Linked DNA regions of Xenopus tropicalis. The protein of the gene in region 2 purifies or fractionates together with the protein of the main gene of each other region. This does not show direct contact. Links are inferred from orthologs where the notes say so. Each region holds a gene or a part of one and is shown on either strand. Other genes may lie near its edges.

Region 1 (3,826 bases), on a different chromosome or scaffold from region 2:
GGGGTGTAGAACGCAGGCTGGTGCTGCCATACTGTTAAGCCCAATGTTCCAGTAGCAGGGGGTTGTAGTTCAGCAATAGCCAGAGAGGCACAGGGCAGGGACAAGGGGCATAGGGCTTGGCAGGGCTACTAAGCATACCATCTAACTGGGAATCATGGGAAATGTGACTGACAGGCCACAGATTGCAGGTTTTTGCCCTAATGCCCCTGTGGCGGATTGGGTCAGGGAGACATGGGGTAATTCAGTGCACATATCATTGGCTAAGGGGCAATAAAATGTTGCTGCTTCTCACTGATGGGGGCGCTGTGCTGTATGAGGGGGATTAGGAGTCAAGCTGTACCTATTGTGTAGCCCACAGCAGCCAATCAGATATTAGGGTTATCAATCAGATTCTAATGGACTGATGAGAGGAAACTGCTGATTGGTTGCCATGGGTTACCAGGCAGATTATAAATAAAAGTGGGAAGTGTAATGATTTGCTGTATCAGCACAGACTGTGACCCTGCTTGGCCTATGGGAGAGTCTGTGCGGTACAGTGTGCGGGGGGGGGAGAACTGACAGTGCGGGGGGGGTACTGTATCTCATTCCCCTGTGGGTGCCAGCTGGCTTGGCGCACGTGCTGGGTGCTGCTGGCACCGGGGCGCTGCACCTGCGTATCCCAGATTGCATTGCACCCTGGCGCCACCTCCGGGTGTGTCGATTATACTCCAGCCCCATAGGGGGGGCACTAGGAATCAAACTCCCCCTCTCTCGTTTGGCTGCACTGAGATAATTTCTGCCCTTTCTGCCCCCAACGTTCCACCCTGTTTAGGTGGAGACTGAACTGTCATTTCCTATAAGTTACTGAGTCATCCGGCTATTTACGTGCCGCCACGGAGTCAGAACCAGCAGTGCAGGGAAGGGAAAGGGACAGACACAGTGACAGTTACACATAACTATAAACCCAGTGAGAATGAGGAATGAATGGATATTGGGGAGTTGTATCAGGAGTCAGAACCAGCAGTGCAGGGAAGGGAAAGGGACAGACACAGTGACAGTTACACATAACTATAAACCCAGTGAGAATGAGGAATGAATGGGTATTGGGGAGTTGTATCAGGAGTCAGAACCAGCAGTGCAGGGAAGGGAAAGGGACAGACACAGTGACAGTTACACATAACTATAAACCCAGTGAGAATGAGGAATGAATGGGTATTGGGGAGTTGTATCAGGAGTCAGAACCAGCAGTGCAGGGAAGGGAAAGGGACAGACACAGTGACAGTTACACATAACTATAAACCCAGTGAGAATGAGGAATGAATGGGTATTGGGGAGTTGTATCAGGAGTCAGAACCAGCAGTGCAGGAAGGGAAAGGGACAGACACAGTGACAGTTACACATAACTATAAACCCAGTGAGAATGAGGGATGAATGGATATTGGGGAGTTGTATCAGGAGTCAGAACCAGCAGTGCAGGGAAGGGAAAGGGACAGACACAGTGACAGTTACACATAACTATAAACCCAGTGAGAATGAGGAATGAATGGATATTGGGGAGTTGTATCAGGAGTCAGAACCAGCAGTGCAGGGAAGGGAAAGGGACAGACACAGTGACAGTTACACATAACTATAAACCCAGTGAGAATGAGGAATGAATGGGTATTGGGGAGTTGTATCAGGAGTCAGAACCAGCAGTGCAGGGAAGGGAAAGGGACAGACACAGTGACAGTTACACATAACTATAAACCCAGTGAGAATGAGGAATGAATGGATATTGGGGAGTTGTATCAGGAGTCAGAACCAGCAGTGCAGGGAAGGGAAAGGGACAGACACAGTGACAGTTACACATAACTATAAACCCAGTGAGAATGAGGAATGAATGGGTATTGGGGAGTTGTATCAGGAGTCAGAACCAGCAGTGCAGGGAAGGGAAAGGGACAGACACAGTGACAGTTACACATAACTATAAACCCAGTGAGAATGAGGAATGAATGGATATTGGGGAGTTGTATCAGGAGTCAGAACCAGCAGTGCAGGGAAGGGAAAGGGACAGACACAGTGACAGTTACACATAACTATAAACCCAGTGAGAATGAGGAATGAATGGGTATTGGGGAGTTGTATCAGGAGTCAGAACCAGCAGTGCAGGGAAGGGAAAGGGACAGACACAGTGACAGTTACAGAGTGACAGATGATAGTTTGGGTTTATATGCCCTTTAATAAGCCGTATGATTGGATAGTGTGGGTGAGACTGCTGCAGCAGACAGGGAGTTAATATCCAGCTCTGAGCAGATGTTGAACAGCGCGGAGCTTATAGGGGATTCTGGGATTTGTAGTTGAATAGCAGCCGCCCTGCAGTGTGAGTGGGGGTGCCAGGGCTGTGTGGGACCAGGCAGGAAGGGGTGCAGGGGGGGCGGAGTTTGCCATGTGTTTGCTGTTAGTGGGGGGGGGGGCTCAGCTGGGTACAGACATCAGTTTAGCACATTCCTCAAATACCCATAAAAGCCCTTATGTAAAAACTCATCAGCCTTAACCACATCAAACAGCTGCAACCGCCTCTCAATCCCCTCACCTCCTGCCCCCTGCTGGTAGCAGTTTGTAATGCACCCATTGGCTGGTAGGAGGGTAATACACAGTGCAAGCTCCCAGCTCCCCCTGCTGGTAGCAGTATGTAATGCACCCATTGGCTTGTAGGAGGGTAATACACAGTGCAGTCTCCCAGCTCCCCCTGCTGGTAGCAGTATATGTAATGCACTTATTGGCACATAAAGGTCTAAGAGGCCAGTACCAATTTATTTCCCAACACCACCTTCTGGCAACTGCATGTAATGCAGCCAGTGGTGGAGGGGAGGGCAATACACAGGGAGCTCTACTACCCCCTCCTGCTGGCAACTACATGCGTTCCAGTTTGCATCACATTTGCCCCCCCTCCCCGCAGGTATTTTGAAGGGGGCGTGTCTTCCGTGTACCTCTGGGACCTGGACCATGGCTTCGCAGGAGTGATCCTTATCAAGAAAGCCGGGGACGGCTCCAAAAAGATCAAGGGATGCTGGGACTCCATCCACGTGGTTGAGGTTCAGGTAAGAGCCACGAGCTGAGCAATATCCTTAGGGCCACAAGCGGGGGGTGAGCTGCCAGGTGTTCAGCACAATGCAGTGAGGAATGGGCCCCGTGCGTGACTGCTCCTCGTTTAGGGGCCGCTCTGCTAATAAGGAAAAGCAATGGCCCTGGGGGGTTGGGGGGGCGTATAATTTGTTTCTAAATTCCTGAACATTTTGTTGTTGTGTTTTTACCTTGGGCTACGGCTGCCTGAGCGTCTCCCGAGCGTTTAACCCTTTCTCCCCTTAACCCTGTCCCCCCCAGGAGAAATCCAGCGGCCGCACCGCCCATTACAAACTCACCTCCACCGTCATGCTGTGGCTGCAGACGAACAAGACCGGATCGGGAACCATGAACCTGGGCGGAAGCCTGACCCGACAGGTACTGTACAGTGGCCTACTCTCAGCAGCTTTCCAATTGGTCTTCATTGAACCGACGTTAATACATCCCTATGGCTTGGGACAGAGTGGGAGGGAATGTGGCGAATGTTCTATGTAACTGCCCCGTGGGGGTCATTCCCCGGGCTCTGTAAGAACAATCTAGAACCCCATTAATTCCATGTCTGTTCTTTCAGATGGAGAAGGACGAGACCGTGAGCGACTCCTCCCCGCACATAGCCAACATCGGCCGACTGGTGGAGGTCAGTACCCGCGCCCCCCCTGCCGCTGGGCACGGCTCGGCAATTGGCCCATGTACCTTTAAGGCTGTGTAATCTATAAGGAATGTGGTTTTAAAGGGGAACTAACCC
Region 2 (3,695 bases):
GAGCTGAAACTCCGTGTTGCTCAGCGACAGCCCCGAAACCTGACAGATCTAGAGGAGATCTGTGTGGAGGAGTGGGACAAAATCCCTGTTGCAGTGTGTGCAAACCTGGTCAAGAACTACAGGAAATGTTTGGCCTCTGTAATTGCAAACAAAGGTTTCTGTACCAAATATTAACACTGATTTTCTCAGGTGTTCAAATAGTTATGTGCAGCAGTGAAATACAAAAATATTCTTTAAAAATCATACAATATTATGTCCTGAATTTTTTTTTTAAATGCTGTCTCTCACAGTGGGAATGCACCTACAATGTGAGTTTCAGACCCCGCCATGATTTCTAAGTGGGAGAACTTGCAAAATCGCAGGGTGTTCAAATATGTTCCTCACTGTAGCTATAGGAATCGTGTTATTTGCCTACTGGCAGCACCAGGGTTAATTTTTTTATTCTCTTTTCTCTTTTAAATGTCATTTAATTTAAGTGTTGGTGGGGGAAATTCTGAAGTGTTTTTACTCATTTTCTAAAGGCTTTCTATATATGACTGAAATCCATATTTCTACTGAAAGTAATTCGAGTTGTACATTTGTGTAATTGCATGGGTCCACAGCTGCGAAACCTCTCTCTCCATTGCTCCTTATATCTGTGCTTCCGATCTACGCTTTCTGCTTGCATGAAATAAGTATGCAAAGGTTCCAGCAGAGGAGTAGAATCCATATCCCATGCATATTTTATAAATGTAACATCATTTAAGTGAATATCCAAATTGCTTCATATCCCGATCCTCATGGGCATTCCCTGGTGCCATACTTGAATCATTAAAGTTTCCTTGCATGATACATTTACCCACTAGGGTTCCCATTCAAGAAAATCAATGTTCACAAACGCTCCACTGTGGTTGTCTCTCTGACAGATGGCATTGCCATGAGATCATATTTACACTGGAACAGGCATTCTGACATTAATATATTGGCACGTTATTGCATTATGCTATTCCCAGACACATTCTCTATTAGACCTTGAAAAATATTTGCATCCAGCATCCACATTTTCCTTTGTGTAATCCTAGCTCCTATAAAATGGGTTCTGCTGCTCCCCATGGATTGATTCCATTTAAACAAATTAGACCTAAAAGTGGGCAGTACTAGGCTTGGCCATTATAAAGATGTTAAGTGATTCAGTTGTCAGGGACCTGTTATCCAGAATGCTTGGGATCTGGGGTTTTCTCAATAAGGGATCTTTCCATAATTTGGAACCCCATACATTAAGTCTACTAAAAATCATTTAAACACTAAATAAACCAAAAATTATTGTTTTGCATCCAATATGGATTCATTATTTCTTAGTTTGGACCAAGTACAAGGTACGGTTTTATTAATAAAGAGAAAAAAGAATTTTGTAAAATTTTGAATTATTTGATTATAATGGAGGACATCGGAGCTGGCCTTCCCATAATTTGGAGCTTTCTGGATGACAGAACCCATACATTTACCTGAAATTAATTGGAAACATACATTTTGTTTACTTTTGGGACAAAATGATATACTAGGGAAAAAAGGTAAAGCCTACTTTTGTGTTTGCGTGTTGAAGTTTGGCAGAAATATACCCATGTTTTGCTGTATGGCTGGGATTTTGGATGCACACACTCAGCATCAGAGTACAGAGCATTTACTGTAATAACAGAAATAAACCTAATATTGAAGAAAATAAAGTGTTAAATGAAATTGAACTGTACATGCTAGCTAGATAAGGGCTTGTACTCTCACACATTTCTTTCTGTGCTGCTCGACAGTGGCGTTCTCCTACGTTCCACCGCAGGGGAGCACAGGGATAAGTGCAACCCTTTCTTCCTAATGGGGCTGTACTAACGCAGGCACAGGTCAGCACCAAAAGCAGGGGAATGCAACATTAGTACAGACCCATAAGGAAGAATGGGAAGCACTTCTTCCTGTGCTCCCCCCGCGGTGGAACGTAGGAGAACGCCACTGTCAGGCAGCACAGAAAGAAACACGTGTGAGTACGAGCCCTAAAAGTCTTCCTTGCAGAACACTTCTTGTTCAGAAATATTCTTTGGTTGTGCACAAGCACTGTGTGTCGACCCTAAAACTAACTATAACAGTAATCTGGGGACTGTGAAGGCCTTCCCTAAACCTTGAAATCAGATTTATTTTATTTTCAGCTTTGGTTGCGGACGTTTAAATATTGATTAATTCAGATTTTAGCTGATCAGCATCAAACAACAATAAAATATTCTGTATCTGGTATAAAAGAACAACATAAATCTAAGGCACAACAATAGGCTGGTTTAAGTGTAATGGTTGTTCGGGTCAAAGCATTTTGTAAAATGTTGAAACATCCAAAGCCAAATAAAACCAATCTTTCTGCTCAAAGCACTGTATTTATTTTTGTTTTTGTAGGCAATACCCAGCTGGCCTTGCAGATCATCAAAAGGAATCAGCTTCTCCCGTCCATCAGAATGATGTCAGATCTTCGAAAGAAGCCATTATTCCAGACAATGCATCAGCCAATGCAGCCAATGCAGCCAATTCAGATGCCAGCTTTTACTGCTGTTCAGAGAAAATGATTTATGGTGGTCCAGGGACTTGTAGAGAACATGGCCTCAAACCATTCAACTCAATTACTCAGTGATCTGGCGAATGTTCTTGGCATACTTCACTCCTGCTTTATCCACAGTATACATAATGTACAAAGGATCACATGTGCCAGGTTCATCAATTTTAACCAAGTAGGAAATCATGCCCTGTGACCTTTGACATGGGATTTCATCCTTGTTTTTGTAAGGAATGGAAGAAGTCATGACTTTTATATATAAAAAAAAATGTAAAGCCATCATATGGTCAGATTAGGATAACACTGGTATATTAAAAGTATTTTCTTGCTCACTTGTGTGTGTGTGTAGTAATGGTTGGAGATGGGAATGGTTATTGTGGGTATAGAATATCTTAAGGGCCAATTTAACTGGCTAGTTTAAGTTGACCAGTACTTGCCATTGAGCACAGAGCTTGATATAGGGGTTGGCTCTGTGCGCAGTGTACAACATGATATATAAAGCCAGATAATAGCAAGCTAGATAAGTTTAAAGGAAGGTAAAAACTAAGTAAGCTTTATCAGAAGGGTCTATGTAAATACAGCCATAAGCACTCACAGAAACGCTGCACTGAGTTCTCTGTCAAAAGATTTGTTGTGTCTGTTTTCTTCTGCCAGAGACACGCAGCTCTCTCATCTCTCCCCCCTCCCTCAAGAATGCTAAGAACTCACTCCCTTCTCTTGCTCTTGGTGCAGGAGCGAGGCATTATGGGAACTTTCTTTACACAGCTCAGCATTTTTTCTTCCTGTTTGGCTTCTGATCATCTGAACAGGAGAAATATGGGGAGACTTAATGGCACTATTGAGAGAACTAAAGAGAACTCTTTATTAGCCTTTCCTTCTCCTTTAAATAAGGGTGATTGTAACCACTTACCTTTATACCCCAGACTGGTGCTTCTATTAGCAAAAAACTGCACCACGCCGGTTCCAGCTTCTTTGAGTGCGTGTGCATGTGCAGTAGAGTGAAAGCCCGAACTTCAACAAAAAAAAAAGCTGGCTTTTTCACTCTACTGCGCATGTGTCAGCGCTGGGATAGCAAAGAAAGAAGATGGAAGGAAGAGAATGGCTCACTCACAGGTACCCTGGGTTGGTGCGG

The links.
Region 1: the proteins of cnot10 (region 2) and capzb purify together in Homo sapiens (co-immunoprecipitation; 3 studies listed by BioGRID and IntAct, with this or other methods). This does not show direct contact. The link is inferred for Xenopus tropicalis from reciprocal best matches to the Homo sapiens genes CNOT10 and CAPZB.

Annotation. Positions count from the first base shown.
Region 1 is NC_030683.2:129,996,613-130,000,438, forward strand, and holds part of capzb (F-actin-capping protein subunit beta), read left to right. Parts: intron 1-2,917; coding exon 2,918-3,059; intron 3,060-3,342; coding exon 3,343-3,459; intron 3,460-3,652; coding exon 3,653-3,718; intron 3,719-3,826. UniProt on the Homo sapiens protein: F-actin-capping proteins bind in a Ca(2+)-independent manner to the fast growing ends of actin filaments (barbed end) thereby blocking the exchange of subunits at these ends.
Region 2 is NC_030682.2:50,256,198-50,259,892, forward strand, and holds the end of cnot10 (CCR4-NOT transcription complex subunit 10), read left to right. Parts: intron 1-2,409; coding exon 2,410-2,576; 3' UTR 2,577-2,895; downstream 2,896-3,695. UniProt on the Homo sapiens protein: Component of the CCR4-NOT complex which is one of the major cellular mRNA deadenylases and is linked to various cellular processes including bulk mRNA degradation, miRNA-mediated repression, translational repression during translational initiation and general transcription regulation.